Rattus norvegicus: one gene and its partners. The protein of the gene in region 2 interacts with the protein of the main gene of each other region in a pairwise test. Links are inferred from orthologs where the notes say so. Each region holds a gene or a part of one and is shown on either strand. Other genes may lie near its edges. The genes, in order: Cdc42ep2, Cass4 and Zyx.

The links.
Region 1: the proteins of Cass4 (region 2) and Cdc42ep2 interact in binary tests that used the Homo sapiens proteins (3 or more experiments, as listed by UniProt). The link is inferred for Rattus norvegicus from reciprocal best matches to the Homo sapiens genes CASS4 and CDC42EP2.
Region 3: the proteins of Cass4 (region 2) and Zyx interact in binary tests that used the Homo sapiens proteins (3 or more experiments, as listed by UniProt). The link is inferred for Rattus norvegicus from reciprocal best matches to the Homo sapiens genes CASS4 and ZYX.

Annotation. Positions count from the first base shown.
Region 1 is NC_086019.1:212,636,811-212,642,791, forward strand, and holds the start of Cdc42ep2 (cdc42 effector protein 2), read right to left. Parts: upstream 3,339-5,981; 5' UTR 3,313-3,338; intron 2,725-3,312; exon of another isoform or gene 2,502-2,724; intron 1-2,501. UniProt on the Homo sapiens protein: Probably involved in the organization of the actin cytoskeleton. May act downstream of CDC42 to induce actin filament assembly leading to cell shape changes. Induces pseudopodia formation in fibroblasts in a CDC42-dependent manner.
Region 2 is NC_086021.1:181,611,725-181,616,925, reverse strand, and holds part of Cass4 (cas scaffolding protein family member 4), read right to left. Parts: intron 2,585-5,201; coding exon 1,289-2,584; intron 1-1,288. UniProt on the Homo sapiens protein: Docking protein that plays a role in tyrosine kinase-based signaling related to cell adhesion and cell spreading. Regulates PTK2/FAK1 activity, focal adhesion integrity, and cell spreading.
Region 3 is NC_086022.1:72,202,467-72,208,425, reverse strand, and holds the start of Zyx (zyxin), read right to left. Parts: upstream 3,927-5,959; intron 3,794-3,926; exon of another isoform or gene 3,791-3,793; coding exon of another isoform or gene 3,779-3,790; coding exon 3,571-3,778; intron 3,105-3,570; coding exon 2,902-3,104; intron 2,758-2,901; coding exon 2,665-2,757; intron 2,555-2,664; coding exon 2,060-2,554; intron 1-2,059. UniProt on the Homo sapiens protein: Adhesion plaque protein. Binds alpha-actinin and the CRP protein. Important for targeting TES and ENA/VASP family members to focal adhesions and for the formation of actin-rich structures.

The DNA of each region.
Region 1 (5,981 bases), on a different chromosome or scaffold from region 2:
GGTAGATTCCACCTAAGTCTAGGGAAGACACATCCTAAGTCTTAGGATCTTTTTTTTTTCGGAGCTGGGGACCGAACCCAGGGCCTTGCGCTTGCTAGGCAAGCGCTCTACCACTGAGCTAAATCCCCAGCCCCAAGTCTTAGGATCTTGTTGCCACCACAGCAAACTAGAGGCCTGCTGACAATATCTTAGTCTGTTCTATTTGCTGGTGTGAGGCACTGGGTGACTCTCCCTTCCTTTCCACTGAGGGAGAGTCGGGATGACTGGTGAGAGCCTGGGCCTGGGCCTTCCCCACCCTCACTCCATCACACTAGATTGACAAGACAGCTAGGGTTTTTCCACAGCAAACTGGGTGTCCCTGACAGCTGTCCCACTCTGAGCCAGATGTTCCCGCCCAAATCCAGATGTGAGGAGAACAGAGGCTAAAGGGAAGGGTGGGGCCAATATCAACCACCCAGGAGAAAGCTGGGAATAACAACAAGCAAAATAGAAGATCTGGCCACCTCGGGACCCGGGACTCCAGCCTGCCATGGAGTTCTTACATGTTAACGCTATAAGGCACGTTGTGGTGGGTGCCACTACTGCCGTGGATAGCTGTTGGAGCGGAACCGCAGAGATATTAAGGAACTTTACCAAGGTCATCAAACTAGCAAGGGAAAACTCTGGTACCAAGGCCAGTCCATGTGGTTCCAAGGCAAGGGACCATACCTATGGTGATAGGAATGGGGGACAGGAGAGAAGCTATCATGTCTCCAGGCTTCCTCCATATAGTCAGATCTCCTGGCTGCCACTTCCCCAGCTTGCAATTGTGCTGTGCTAAAAGGAGCTCTGATTAGGGCAAGGCTGCCAGGAGGAGCTTCCTCCACCACTGGAAGGCAGAGATGAAAGCATCCCAGTTGTATGGGTCACTCTGGACAAGCCCCGCCTCCCTCAGAGAAAATGACTTCCTAGGGGCAGCTCACCTCTGGTCATGGAGAATGTTTAGCCCCTACTTACTCTGGATGTTCATGAAAATCCCCCTCTCTACATAGACACTTCAAAATTAATGGGCTCCCACACACTTTTTTTTTTTTTAAATACAGGATCTTACAGTGTAGACCGGGCTGTCCTAAAACTCACACCTTCTTCCACCAACCAAGTACTGGGATTAAAAGTGTACCACCCAGCCAGGCATGGTGATGAGTGCTTTTGGGAGACAGAGGCAGGCAGATCTCTATGAGTTTAAGGCCAGCTTGGTTTGCATTGTGAGTACCAGGACAGTGAGACCCTGTCAAACATTCAAGTTTCAAAAACAAAAACAAACAAAAAAACAAAACAAAAAGAAAGTGTGCCACCATGCCCAGCTCTAGGTGTGACGTTTGCCTCTTCTCTAAAGGTTTACTGAAAAGTTTTATGGTTTTGTTTTTTCTTTTAAAAAAAAGATTTATTGGGGCTGGGGATTTAGCTCAGTGGTAGAGCGCTTACCTAGGAAGCGCAAGGCCCTGGGTTTGGTCCCCAGCTCCGAAAAAAAGAACCAAAAAAAAAAAAAAAAGATTTATTTATTCATTATATACACATACACTATAGCTATCTTCAGACACACCAGAAGAGGGCACCGAATCCCATTATAGATGGTTGTGAGCCACCATGTGGTTGCTGGGATTTAAAGTCAGGACCTCTGGAAGAGCAGTCAGTGCTCTTATTCGCTGAGCCATCTCTCCAGCACCCCCCCCCTTTAAAAAAAGATTTATTAGGTTTTGGTTTTTCAAGACAGGGTTTCTCTGTGTAGCCCTGGCTGTCCTGGAATCCTGGAACTCAATTTGTAGTGTAGACCAGACCAGTTAAACTTAGAGATCTGTCTACTTCTAGAAACAAAAACAAAAAAAGAAAAAAAACTAAGTTTTTATTATTGTATGAGTGTATCATGATATGTGTGTGAGTGCACACACACTCGCAATTGTGTATGTAATACGGAATGTGTGTGGAAGTCAGAAGAAGACTTTGTGGAGTCCACCTTTGATGGGAACTCATCTCCAAGCTTGCTCAGCAAGAGGCTTCCGCTGAGACATCTTGCCAGCCCAAGAGGAATGGTTTGAAATCTAGTTCCACCTGGGACTCTGTGTCCTTAGGTAATGAACCTTTCCTCTTTGGGACTGGACTCACCTCTATCTTTAAAATAAGCTGACCCATTGCTATACTGGAAACAAGAGGCCTCTGCACAACAGATGAATCTATAGTCACTGTCAAAGGACATTCAGCAAATATCTGCAGGGCTTTCCTCAAGTAGTGGCTTCAACAAGAATAAAAACCAGGGGCTGGAGAGATGGCTCAGCGGTTAAGAGCTCCCCACTGCTCTTCCAGAGGTCCTGAGTTCAGTTCCCAGCAACCACATGGTGGCTCACAGCCATCTATAATCAGGTCTGGTGCCCTCTTCTGGTGTATCTGAAGACAGCTACAGTGTACTTATATATAATAAATAAATCTTTAAAAAAAAAAAAGAATAAAAACCAAACCCTTCTCACCTCCCAGGCGTGGATCTCCTCTTGTCAGCCCTGACAGAGCCAGCTCAGAATCTGGCTCTCCTGTAGCGGTCTCTCTGTAGTCCAAAGTCGCTAGGTGGCGCGCGCGCCCCTGCTATAACGCGGCGTTCTAGGGTCCCAAGGAGCATACCCCGTTCCAGGCAGACGCCCACCGAGGAACTGCGTGCTCCAGTACCCGAGGTGGATCGCCCATAGGCCTTTTTCTCTGGGTTGCATATCGGACCACAGTGAGGGTAGAATTGCAATTATCGAGGACCTTGCCCCCAAGATTCCCGATATCTGGGAGGGGCCTTGCCTGAGCTTCTCCGCCTGGGCTAAGTCTCAATGTCTGTTTGGCGCACGGCCAGACTTCGGACGTGCAGGCCCCCGCCCTCCCGGGAGTCCGGCTGCTCAGCCCTGGCTCCTGTTCCCGCGCCGACCCCTCCAGGTCCCCAGTCAAACGCTGCCCAGCGCGGCCCAGATCCATTTCAGTAATACTGCAGCTAAAGATAGGAGGACACCTAACCCTAACCCTAACCTCACTATCCGCTAAAAATATGGCCTTCAGCCCAGGCCGGGACACGGGCGGAAGAGAGGATGTTCCCAGGTCCCCGGTCTCCGACTGGCAAAGACAAGCAGCTAGAAGCTGCGAGACTGACAGCGCAGCGCCTTGAGCTCTGCTGGAGGTCATGGGTAGGGGGGCGGGAACCCAGACTCCAGGTAATGGACCTGATCTCGGCCAGAACAGAGTACCTCCTGACTAGCACTCTCTAGGGAGCTACAGGAGGCCCGCAAAACCCCAGTCCGAACTCACCTTGAGGAGCGCGGGCAAAGCAGCAGAGCTGTGCGGCTAGGATAGAGGACCACGGAGGGCCTGGGAACTTACAGTGCAGACCTTGGGCCTAAGCCACGCCCCCAGTACCAGGAGCCAATCCCGGGCTGCTCCTCTCGAATCCCCCACCCACACATCCCCGCCCACCGCGGCACCGCCCAGGTTCTCGCCTTTCTGCAGAGGCTCAGAGCCGGATTCCAAGAGTCCAGAGCCTCAGCCTCAGACCGCTGAGAGCGATCACCGAGGGGTAACAAGGGTGGATACACACGAGGACGCCAGCTGTTCGTTTGGAATAAAAACTTTAGGCTAGAAGCATTGGGCCAACGAAGGCCGGAAGAAAGAATTCTTGAGAAATCTCTGAGCATCCTTGGATGAGTTTCCTTGACGGAAGGACTGGGACCCGGGAGGTGCCTGCACTGTGACTCTACAAGAATGAATTGGGCTTTGCAGGGGCCTTACAAACTTAGGAGCGTTTTTGAAGAGTTTACCCTAACCTAGGAGAGAGAGTGATGAAGGGTGTGAGAAAGATTCCGGGTCGGGAGGCGCAGAGAAAAACAGAGACTCAGCCTGAGCTTGCCTGAGTTTGCTGTCCCGCTAGGTGGTTTCTGAGGTGGGCAGTTTAGGACAGGATCAGAAACAGTTATTGAAGGGCAGGTCCGAGATAAACCGAAGGAAACTTCTCATTGCTCCGTTTTGTGAGTAAATTAGTTGAATGTTTGTGATTAGGGAAGCTGAAGGGTCTGGACTGAAGAAATTCGAGGTTCCAGGCACAGGCTGGTACCCTTCCAAGTGGATAAGTGCTAAGAGGAGTGAGGCAAAAGAAGAGGCGGACAATTCTGGGAGGAGAGACATCAGGATGCTTGGCTTCCAGAGAGCAGATGTGAAAAGGGTATATGTATAGGAGGAAGGGAAGCTAGGGTTGGGGAGTATGTCAGGCAAGCCAGAAAGGTGGGGAGAATGGGAAGGACTGAGTCATTCTTCCCTAAGACGACCATCTCTGGGCCAGGGAGTACAGCTCAGAGGAGCTCAGTGAGTTCCCCTGTATGTCAGTCCTTCTGTTTAATCCCCAGTCGCACATGTACGGACACCACACACACACACACACACACACACACACACACACACACACACACATGCATACATTCACATACTCTTACACTTACACACATGCACCACTAGATCAAGAACTCCACGTTTTAACCTCTGGGACCATTTTGTCATGTGGGAAAAGGGAATTTCAATTACTAGGAATTATGATTGATTTGAACTCCTGGGCTCAAGAAGTCTAGTTTCCTCCACCTCCCCAAGAGCTGGGACCATCGATGTGAGCCACGTGTCCCGCTCAGATGACTTAACACAGAGATTGTCCTAGTTTAGGCATGTGATGGCCAATATCTGTAATCCCAGCACTCAGAGGGTGGAGGCGGGGGATGAGGATTTCAAAATTATTCTCCTCAGCTGTATAGTAAATTCAAGCCCTAAAGTAAAAGAAGACATTCTGAGTGAAGACTCATCAGGTCAGGGTGCTTGCGGCCAAGCCGCACGACCTCAGTTTCATTTCTGGGCCTACATGGTGGAGGGGGGAAGGAACCAATGTTTAAATGTTTTTCTCTGATCTCTGTGTGCTCCATGACACACACACGCCCCCCACCTCCACAAAGGTCAGTGTCATTTGTTTCTTGAGGCAGGTCTCTCTGTATAGCCTTGGTTGACCTGGAACTCACTATGTAGCCTTGCCTGGCCTTGAACTCACAAAGATTAACCTGCCTCTGCTTTCAGTGTAATTTTTTTTTAAAGAAAGAAAAGGAATAAAGAACGGGCCAAAATTAATTACAAAGGCCCTTACAAATAAAGCAGCAAGAGAATGAGAGAAGCAGCAGAAGCCACCTGACAGGGAGCTGGTGACCCTGTGCTAGAGAGCTGGGGAGGCTGGGGAGGCTGGGGAGGCAAAGGCACTGCCAGCCCGGTGTACAGTGTGAGTTCTAGGCCAGGCAGGGCTACAACATAGTGAGACCCAGTGTCAAAAGAGAAAAAGGAAAGAGGGGCACAGTGAAAGGGTTCGGCTCACCCTCTGAGTGCCAGGATTACAGACAGACATCATCACATGCTGTTTATTCAGTGCTCAGGACAGAACCCAGGGCTTTGTGCTTGCTCCATAAGCGCTTGGTAAACCAAACACGTTATCCCCAAGCCTGATGGCCTGGGTTTGAGCTGCAGAACCCACATGGCGGAAGAGAGAACCAATTCCCACAGGCTTTCTGCCAACCTGTACACACATCAATAAACACGTCATTTTTGTAAAATGAAGGGAAGGGCAGGTCAGGAAGATACCAGAGTGCTATTCTTAGAGATGAAAGAAGGGCTTGGGGGCCAAGGACCTCTGGACCTTCCAATGGCAGGAGAAGACAGAGACAGACAGGTTCTGCCCTGGGGCTTCCAGAGTGAACAGCCTTGCTAACATCTTCCCCTTAGCCTCACTGACCTTCTGACCTACATGACATGCTAATGAATTTCTGTGGCTCCACTGTTATTGTTTTAAGTTATGTTCATATGCCTGCCTCTGTGGGGATGTGTGCAGGTAGCCTCTGAGGGTACCTGAAGAAGACCTTATTACAGGTGTTTGGGGACTGCTTGACATTGGGTTCTGGGAG
Region 2 (5,201 bases):
AATCTCAAATTACTAATTTAAATAGGTTTCAAATTACAATGGCTGCCTAAGTTCGCTTTTTTTGTTTCACTTTTATGGTTGGTGGTTTTTGTGCTCACCCCCAAACCCCACCAAGATCTTACCCTGTAGCCTAGATTGGCCTGAAACTCCCCACCTTCTTCCTCAGCTTCCTGAGTACAGAGGTTATAGCATGACCACTGTGCCCCACTTTAAAAGTTTACTCTGAGATGTGAGATTTTGTTCACGATTCTGCCTACCGATGCATTTATTGGCTTTGGTGAGGGAGGGCCCTGCCCGCTGTGTGCGGGTGCCTCCTCTCTCGGTACTAAGTGCTATAAGAAAGCAGGCTGAGCAAGCCATGCGGAGTGAGCCGGTGAGTAGCACCCTCCATGGCCTCTGCATCGGCTCCTGCCTCCAGGGTCCTTCTCTGCTTGAGCTCCTGTCCTAACTTCCTCCAGCGACGTGGCAGTGTGAGCCAAATAAATAAACCCTTTCCCCCACAATTTGCTTTTGGTCATGGTGCTAAACCCTAAGGCTAAGGCAGTAAGAACCCTAGTTCAAAGCCTTGCCCGGGCAACTCAAAAGAAAGAGTAAAAAGATAGTGGTGCCAGTCACGGTGGCACAGGCATCTAAACCCAGCCTCCGGGGGCAGGTAGGAGTGGGGGTGGGGAGAGGGGGAGGGAGAGAGAGAGGGGGAGGGAGAGACATGAGAGGCATGGGAGGCAGAGGCAGAAACAGTTTTATCTCTGTGGGCTCCAGGCCAGCCCGATATACATGTTGAGTTCTAGGACAGGAACTACCTAGTGAAGCCCTGTCTCGAAAGCAAGCAAGCAAACAAACAAAGCCCAAACAACAACAATAAAAAAAGACGGAGAACGGCAGAGGCAGACACTGCCCACCACACACCACACACTAGATGTACACACATACTCAAAAAGAACCAGGACATAGTTCAGTCACTAAAGAGCTTTGCAAGTAGTGGACCTGGGCTCAACCACTGGAACCCATGGGAAAAGGTTGGGTGTGGTGGCACAAGCCCGTCTCTCCAGTGCTGGGCCGCAGAGGAAGACAGACCCCTAGGTGCTGCCATCCATCCAGCCTAACCTAGTCAACCTCTTCCAGCCCAGTGAGAGACACTGAGGAGCAATACCCAGGCTTGTCCTCTGGCTTCCACGCGCATGTGCAAGTGTACATTTCTACACGCACACGGCGCCAGCATCTCCCCTCAGTGATGATCATTTCCCGTAACAGATGAAGTCCTTGTGTACTGTTTGTCTCCCTGACTTACCTGCCCACAGACATCCCCTCTGCTTTTCTTCGCCAGCTCAAGGGAGTGCTCAGCTGCTGGCTGTTTGTGGAAGGGGCTGCTGCGCTCTGGGTGGGACTCAGCTTCTCTTTGGGGAGGCTGGATGCATCTTTCACACCTCCAGTCCACCTCTCCTCTCTCACAGTTCTGTTTAAAAAGGAGCTTCCCGTTGGCAACGACGATGGAGGTGAACCTCTTCACGTCCTCCGGAACTACCCGCGCAACCTGCACAAACCTCTCCAGGTCATCCACACTGCTTTGGGCTTTGTCCACCACGAGAACTTCCAGCGACCAATTGCAGCGGTCCAGGGTCCCCTTAGCATCCAGCAGCGTCTGGTAGGAGCTAGAGATCGTCTGGAGCTGATCTCTAACTCTAGCCTGAAGGTAGCTGTCTGTGAGATTGCAGGCCAACCCACCAACACCTTGGGCAAAATCCAGAAATTCTCTCAAGGATTCCTCTACGCGGTCAGCGGCCCCTCGGATTCTGTTGACGTTGGTTTCCAAGGAGTCTTTGAACCTCCAGGTCCTGCTTACAAAGAGCAGCAGGCCCGCCACTGAGCTGGCCACTCTGCTTTGCAGAGCCACCGCTGTCTCTTTTGCAAAGTCCAAGTCCATCCACAGCTCCTTCACGGAGTCCTCTGAGGAGGAGCCAGGGGAGGAGTCCGTGGATAGGGAGGAGCATGAAGATACCACACTAGCCCTGCTGTCTGAGCTGGCAACAGATAATCGATCCGAGTCGGGAGACAGGAAATTTGTCTGTCTGGAGACCCAGGGGGAATTCTCTGGAGCCTCTCTGCCTCTCTCCAGCTCCTTTCCTGCCAGAGACACCCCTTGTGTGGCTTTTGAAGTATTCTGAAACACACCCTGCATGGCTTTAGGGGTGTCATAAATGTTAGGTTTGGTGTTCTGTCGCTCCACTCTGGGAATGAGAAACCTGGAAGGGACCTTGTAGCTGCTGCCTGCATCAGAAGGAAGTGAGTCCCCCCTGGGGGTCAGAAAGGCATACGAAGTTTCTTCCGGGGGGCTGCTTTTCTTCTGCACGGCGTTCCCCAGCTGTGGGGAGAGGGTCACAGCTCCAATGCGGACAACAGAGGAGCCTGGGATGGTGTTGGAGCATGACTCTTTGGTGAAGCTGGTCATAGATGCATTTCTGACATCAGCCTTTCCCAGCGACACTGGAGTGTCATGAATCCAATCTGATTTCTGAGGGCTGGATAATGGGTTATAGCCACCACCTTGTCTGAAGGCCGTTGTGGGTGCCAATGTAACACCCGGACCCTGGGGAGAAAAAAAAAAACACATACAAAGTTGCCCCGGGTTAGTAACAATCAGAATCTGACAGGTTCTAAACATCTGACTGCCTCTGTTTTGCTTAGGTCTCTTCAGTGATTCCCCCCATTGCTCTTGTCACTCAAGGGCTCTCCCAGTCTGGCTTCACCCTCTGCTGAACCTCCTTTCTCTGCCCTTCCACGGCAGCCATCATTTTGGGCACATTCATGGTGGTTTGAATGAGAATAGCTCCCACGGCCTCTATGTTTGCATGCTTGGTTTCCAGTTGGCCAAACTGTCTGGGAGGACTAGACGTGGCCTTGTTGGAGGCAATGGGCCACAAAGGTAAACTTTCTCCCACCATCCCCTATGTGCTGCCCCCCTCCTCCTACTCCTTCCTGCCTATGGCTCAAGATGTAAGCTTTCAACTGTTCCTGCCACCATGCCGTCACGCGTTCGCTATGCCAAACCATCTGGAACTGCAACCCCAGTGGGCTTCTGTATTTTTTTTTTTTATTTTTTTTGGTTCTTTTTTTTCGGAGCTGGGGACCGAACCCAGGGCCTTGCGCTTCCAAGGTAAGCTCTACCACTGAGCTAAATCCCCAGCCCCGGGCTTCTGTATTTTACAAGTTACCATGGTCATGGTGTTTTGTCATAGCAAAGGAGCTGCTTTTCTTCCTCTCATTGGGAAAACCCACTCGTGCCCCTGCATTGCCTCCACATGTCCCTATGCTTCCACTGGGCCTTTTAACCTTTTCTTTCACATCTAACAAACTTCTGCACATCACTGGAGTTATTGTCAAAATGCATCAAAACCGGACGACTCCCCCTGATCCCACAAACTGGGATAGGAGCGCACCCGTGGGACACGTGGTTAAAAATGCTCACGAGGACCCTCAAATGATGCCCCTCTACAAAAAGGCAAGGGCGTGAGTTCATGCCTGCCCGTGAGATCTCTAACAGGAAGGCATTCTACACCACCCACTGAGCTATTCCTCTGTGTATTACACAAATCATCCCATGGAAAACTCCAGAACATCTGTGGTAAGAATGCAGTCACGGGGAAGTTAAATGACACATGCAAGCCGCCACGTAGCTTGACTGCATGTGTGTGTACCATGCGTGTGTCTGCTATTCATAGAGGCTAGACGAGACCATCAGATTCCCCCCGCACTGGAGTTACAGATGGCTGTGAGCAGCCATGTGGATTCTGGGAACTTGGGACCTCAGGAAGAGCAGCGATGCTCTTAGCCAACTCCCCAGATCCACTTTTAAAAATGTGAGCACAGGGGATCCAGTCCTGTAGGATGATGTCATTATGCAGCAAGGCGGATCCAGCCTATCATTGGATGAGAAGGAAGGGTAGGCGGGGAAAAGTCTAGGAAGGAGACAGAAGGAGGAAGAGGAGGAGAAGGAGGAAGAGGAAGAGAAGGAGGAGGAAGAGAAGGGGGAAGAGGAGGAGGAAGAAGAGGAGGAGGAAGAGGAGGAGGAAGAGGAGGAAGAGGAGGAGGAAGAAGAGGAGGAGGAGGAAGAGGAGGAAGAGGAGGAGGAAGAAGAGGAGGAGGAAGAGGAGGAGGAGGAAAGGAGGAGGAAGAGGAGGAGGAGGAAGAAGAAGAGGAAGAGGAGGGGAGGAGGAGGAAGAGAGGAAGAGCATCGAGATGAGTCAAGATGGAGGAAGATGATCCCGATCCAGGTGGTCTAGGTCAGTTTTATCTTGTCTAGGTGGTCGGTTTCTATCTCTATTAATTGGCAGTGAGTTTATTCTGTGGATGTTTTGTGGATTGAGAATTTAACACGTAAATCTGATGGTTGGGTTGCAGTTTGTTGAGTCTTGATTTTACCGGGCGGGCGACTGGAACCGGAGAGTTCCCGGCTGGCCAGGGCTGGCCAGAATGACTAGCAATGGAGAGACCGCTGGGGTTAGAAGACAGCTAGGCTAACGTGACATGGTGCCACACTGAAACCAGCCACCGCTGAGATAAATTAATGTGAGTTCTATATGGCCCTACGGTGCCAGAACTAACTCCAGGGAGAGACTGCCCGGGTCCAAGAGTACCAGGGGGCCAGCGTGGAGCGGTGATATGCGGGAACCGGTCGCAGCACAAACCCACGTCCTCATGCCTGTTAGACAAACAGTTGCCAACAGAGCCATCCCTAACCTGCTGCCCTAGTCCTGAATCCCAGGGCTAGGAGGGATTTTACTTCTAGTGCAGCAGAGTTGGTTATGAGGATCCTGCACCTGACTTTTGGTCAAACGCCACAGTTCGAACTCGGATTGTTCCTCAATGTTGAGGGCCTAGTCCTTAGCCTGTGCTGCTGTTAGAAGGTAACGAAACATTTGTGAGGTAAGGCCTAGGGGAAGGAAGTCGAACCACCAGGGACACCAGCGCCATGAGCTTGAGGGGATACTGGGACTCCAACCCTGTCTTCTTTTTCTTTGCCCCCCTCGCCTCCACAGAGCAGGCGTCTTCTCCCACCAGTGCTCTCTCTGAGACGCACCACAGTTTCCAGAGGGTGAACTCTGAAACAGTGAACCAACCTTCCCTTTCCATGAGTTGTTTAACTCGGGGATTTCGTCCCAGCAGCTGAAACAAATCAATCCATCTAACAAGGTTTCCCAGAGGAT
Region 3 (5,959 bases), on a different chromosome or scaffold from region 2:
GAGACTGAGAAGGACTGAGACTCACACTCTAGTCTGACTGGAACTCTTAGTAATCCTCCTGCCTCAACTTTCCATGTTCTGTATCTTACAGACCACCATACTCAACTTCACGGCTAAACTTTGAGATCAGGCTACACTACCAACTTCCATGTTTCCACCAATTATTCATTCAACCTCTGTCACCACCATATATGGTCCAAATAGTCCTAACGAAGTCCTTACAAAGTCCTAAGAGTTGAACCCCTGCTTATCTAAGTCATGCTCCCTAAACCTACATGAAGTTCCCAAGGTCACATCATCCACTTCTAAGAATCCCGTCCTGGGATCTTCCTCCATTCTCTCTGCACAGCACAAAGTGGCCCAAGGTCCCTGAGGCTCTTAACTTCTTGGAATTCTTGGAAGACTTGTCAGCTACCTCTAACTTGAGGCCTGCCCTTGTGTTACAGTCCCACATTAGCTGAATGACAGTTCCAGCTGAAGGCAAGTGCTCCTGAAGCCTGTTGCTCAACACAATGACATCTAGACCCCTCCTCTTCCCGTTCAAACCATTTCCCCATCTGCACTTCTCTATTTTGTCAGTAATATTGTTACTCCTCAACATACCCAGCTCTGAGCCTCCCTGGCATTTGTGTTCGCCCACCCCAGCTGCTCTCAGTTGCAGCCTCCTGTAGGCCCTTCCATTGGAACAGCTCTCATCCATGGATCTTATTTCTCACTGCAACTAATACTACTGTGGCCCAGGAGTGAACTCACCTGCATCCCAGATCTCCCTACCTCTAATATGCACCTCGGCTGGAAAAGCTTTGCAGTATTACTTTTCACCAGTCCTCCTGGCCAAACCACACACAACTGAGACACCATCAGTGATTCTCCAATGCGCACAAGCTCCCTACTGGAGATTTTGTTCTCTAGTGCTTCTGCCACAAATCTCCACCCATCTCAAGCACAGCTCAAAGTCTGTCTGCTAGGAGCCTTGTGCTTTCTGTTCTCCAAATAGCCCTCCTGTGTTATCCGTACCCTGGAATTCTCCACAAGCTCTATCCACCTAATCCTCTTCTCAATCCCTTCTGGATTCTCAAGTCCTCAAGTACCTGAAGGCAGACCAACCTCGTGAAGCTGTTCCTAAGTTGCCAGCCCCCATGCTGGGTCATAGTTTCAAATCCCTGTAACTCAGATTCTGAGCTATCAGAATCCAGCTACACTTATTCCTACACTGTGTCTGAGTACATCCAGACGTTTACAGTTACCAGTCAGATACCCAGAAAGTCCCTTCAACTCAGAAGATCTCTTTCTCTGAACTAACAGGCAACAACTGTACTGTCTGTTTCTATTTTGAGCTCTTATGTGCTAGACTAAGAAGATAAGCTGACTTGCACTTCACCGTTGTTTGGTATGGGTAGCTATTTCAAAGACGGGTGTGTGGTGTGTGTGTGTGTGTGTGTGTGTGTGTGTGTGTGTGTGTGTGTGTGTGTTCAAAGTTCACCCAATTTTACTAGGGTCTAACAACTTGTGAGAAACAGGCTAGAAATTCTACCCTGAACCTGTGACTTCAGAAGACTGAACCTGTTGGAGAGATCTCTCCAGCCCATAGACCCAGCCTCCAGAGCACAGAGCAGTGCCTGGCACTCAGCTGATGCTGGCCCAGCAAGTGTTTCCTGGTGCTGACTATACTTTTATCTCTAGATGGGCCCTCAGGCAATGAAGTGCTCAGAAAACCCAGGAGCCTAGGGATTTAGTCAAGGCCCAAGAATGGGAAAAACTAAGGTTGGGCTAATGATCTCATTCTCCTCTCTAACATTCTAGGGCAGAGGCACAGGGGAAACGTTGTATCCTCTTACTTCTAAACCCCAGCTGCTGTACCGATTGACCCAGGCCCCAGCTAGTCCCAGACTTCCTCCAGAAGAACTTTCTCTCTGCCAGGACAGATAACCCTACACTTCCCCCATCACCACACCCACTCTGGCTCCTCTAGTTCTCTACCCCACCCTCACCCTCTTGCCCTCTTTTTTCTGCAGTCCTATTTCATCCAGCCCCTGGCCTCAGCCTGTGGCTTCCTCACCTGGTTTTGGTTTTGAGCTGGTGGAGGCAGTGGGTGCTGCTTCTCTTGAACTAGGGGCTTCTCCTTCTGCTGAGCATAGGTGAAGCTAGGGGGCTGGGGGGAGCCTGTGCCCACAGAAGAAGGAGCTTCCAGAGGCACCGATTTTTGACTGGGCTGTGGCCCAGGTCCACTTGGAGCACCAGGGCTGAATTTGGAAGCCACGGGAGTAAATTTAGGTGCCACTGGAGCAAACTTAGGTGCTGGAGTTGGAGCCTGAGAAAGGGGACCTCGGGGCTGTGTATTAGCGGAAGACACAGACTGGGGTTGGACATGGGGCTTGGCCTGAGGCTGGGCATGGAGCTGGACCTGAGGCTTGGCCTGCGGCTGAGGTGGTGGCTGAGAGCTAGAAGGGGCCTTCCAAGGAGGTAAGGGTGCTGTGCCCACAGGGGCAGGCTTGGTACTAGGTTTGGGAACAAATGGAGTAGCAACTGGTGGAGGTACATATCCAGATGACACCTGCAAGGAGAAGCAGAAGGGGGGGGATGTACTTAGAGGAGGTGGACATCTCTTCCTGTATCCCCTCCTCTCCTTCTAGGCCCAGACTTTCCTACTGTCCTGCCCCTTACCCGGGCTTTGAAGGGATCGTTCTTGGTCATGTCATCCAGCAGTGAGGACAGAGAGTCGATCTCCAGGTCAATACTGCTCACTTTCTCCCTGGGCTGGAGGGTCAGGGGTCAGAGCACCCATCCCAGTCTTCCCTTGTCGTCCCACTCCCATCGGGAGAGAGTTAAAGACTCCTCTCCAGCTCATGGAGGCGTCCCCCACCCCATCTCCAGCAAAGCTGCCCTCCAAGCCCTCCCTACCTGCGGTGGGAGCTGGGTAGGGGCCTCAGGTCCTCCCTCCTCCTCCAGTGGAGGTGGAGGGGAGGGGAAGATGTCCTCCTCCAGAGGAGCAGGGGGGAATGGTTCTTCGATCAACGGGGGAGGTGGAGGTGGGAAGGCACCTCCCAGGGCCCCCTCTGAGTCGTCGCCCTCCCCAATAACGGGAGGAGGGGGCAAAGGAAAGTCTGGGTAGGAAGGAGAGAGAAGGCTATCAGTACCGGCCCTCGTTCCTTCTCTCAGCCTACTGTTTTAACCCCCTAATCCAAGAACTCTTTTTCTGCATCCCAAGAGCGTGTGCAGACCATAACAGGGGCTCAGGATGCCCTGGGCGAAGCAGGTCGAGTGAGAACGGGCTAGGTTGAAGAACCGTGCAGCTCCCGTTACACTTCAGAGAACGGATCCAGAGGGGAAGATTCCTGGCCCACATTCCCGCCTCCTACCCCCAGGCGGGAGTCTTGGAACAGTCCCAAGGGTTCTGGCTCCTAGCCAGGAGCTCCAAGATGAGGTAAGAACATCTGCTCAGGACAGGGTAGCCACCCAGAGCCCAGCCCCCTCCACAACAGCCTTTCCAGACAACCCCAAATTCCCCAAACCACCGACCCCCAACCTGGCGCCCGAGAAGAATCGGGGCCCCCAATCCCAGCCGCATACCTTCCGGGGGCGGTGGGGGGATCTCGCCCACCCGGCCCATCTGTGCTCTCTGGGCCCCGGCTGCCACAGGAGACTCGCTGTCCCCAGGCCGGAAAGGATTCACTTTGGGCTTCGGGGCCACAACCGGGGCGAACTTCTTCTGCGGGGCGTAAAACGCGGGGGCCGAGACCGAGACGGAGATCGCGGGAGGCGGGCGGGGGGCCGCCATAGTCAGGCCGGGCTGCTGGGGGTGGGTCGTCAGGTTACGCAGAGCGGTGCCGGGCTGACACTCCTCGGTCCAAGAGCCCCTCGGTGACCCCACCCTCGCCTCCCCGCGTCCCCTTCCCGGGACTGCGGAGCTTCTCCCCGCGCCTCACCGCGGGCAGGAGCGTGAGAGCCGCGTCTCGGATGACCGCCTCGGCGCCGAGTCCACGGACTCTGCGTCCCGGTCCGGAGCAGCTTCTAGCCAAGCGGGGAGGGACGACGCGCAAGGGAAGGGAGGGAGGGGGCGGGGAGAGAGCGGCGCCCAGACCATACAAGGAGCGGCCCGGAGAGGGGGCGGGGAGAGGCCGGGGAGGGAGGGCCGGGCAGGAAACTCCCCCAGGAAGGGGCCCGGGTCCTGCCCTGGGCCGCAGGCTCTGCAAAGGTCCGCCTGCGGCCTCCCTACGCATCACCGCCCCCGCCGGGCACAGACCACCCTTCCCCAGCACAGGCCTCTGATGTCATTTCCTGACCTGCCACCTACCCCCCTCCCCCCTCCCGACCCGCGAGTGCTGGAGAACTGACTCACCGTCCGCACTCCGGGGCTGTGCAGGCCGGCGAGTATCCCAGAGGTCCCGAAGCTGCTCAGTCCCGCTTCCCGGGCCTGCCTGCCATTGACTGACCCCGCCCCTCCCTGCAGCTTCAGCTCCGCGTCCCACGTGTCCTGTGGTCAGTCCCGGAACGTAGGACTGAGATGGGACCCTACTCGTGGGTGGGCGGGGATGGTGAGGGGACGTTCGCTCTGCTGGCACCCGGCTCCTAGGCCGGCCTTCTGTAACGCAGTAGTGTGTGAGTAGGAGCCTAAGCGCTCTAGGGGAATGCTAACTTCCTGAGCTAAACTGCCTCTTAAGGCTTCTAGGAATTCGCTTAGAGCTAGACCCGCCTGCAAATTTGTTGCCCCGGGGAGAGTGTCCAGTGCTTTGAGTCCAGGAATGAAGGTACAAGGGCGAAGTCAGGGTGAGCGGTCTAACAACCTAGAAAGACCCAAATAGCCTCCGGGGACCAGTCCTTGAGGATCTCTTCAAGCCTTTCCCAGCCCCTCAAGAGTATTTGGGTTGTCAGCGGCCCCCAGGACAAAGCTCGGTGGAGCCCCCCACTGGTCCAACCGGATTCCTCAGCCTGAGACTGTGCCCCAGGCTACATGAAAGAAGTCTGACAAAGCTGATGTCTGCTTTTCTTACTGTCTTAATCTTCCTTTTCTTTTCCTTCCCTTCTTTTTTTTCTTTTTCTTTTCTTTTTGTAAAATTATACACGGAAACTTCGTCCAAATTATAGAGTTACGCGTTAGAGTCTCTAGTCCAATATCCAACCCTCCGGTGCTTCCTTTGGTTTTACCGTCATCCCTGGCTGAGGTTCTCACTGTCTTCTGAGTTTCCAAACCTTGGCGCTCCCCATCTATTGCACCCTACGGTCCAGAAACCTTGAACTGTGCTTTAGGGGCATGCAAACTAACCCCAGGAACTTAGGATGAGAAACTGGGTATGTTATTTGAAAAGATGGCCCCGGGGGCGCACTTAGGTCCGAGTTAATTAACCCCTTTGGCAGAGATGCAGTACAGAGTGAGGCCAGGGAGCCCAGTTTCCAACCCAACGGACACGTTTCTTCATTCGGTTTCATTGCCTCGACTGTAAAAGGGATGGCATCTAATTCATTTGCCTGCTTCCTTATGTGAAGGAATAAACAGCATGCCATGTCTGAAAATTCTATATAGTTCACAGAATTACCTCCATGCAAGTCCCAAGCTGGAAAAGAACGGAAATTTCCAGCCAGTTAACCTAGGCAGCTTTCCCTCACATGCTCCCTTCCAGTTTGCCAGACAAGTTTAATGTGTCTTGGTTGATTCAATGCCCTTTTCCTTCCGTCAACCTTATGTCTTGAGTCATATCTATGACTGTGCATTCATCATCGTTCCAGGCCCCACACTTTTCTCCGTCATCTTAATGTTTCCATCACCAGTGTTTTGCGTTGCATGTGTGACCATGTATGACACAAAAGTGCTCAGGTATACACATCCTAACATGCACGAGCTGGTCCTAGGCCTGTTCCTATGAAGATCTGTTAGAAATTTGACACTGGATTTATTCTGCGTGTTAGAGATTGTTTCTTGGGCTTCTCAGACCGAGTCGTCAGCATCCTTCCAAATATGCCC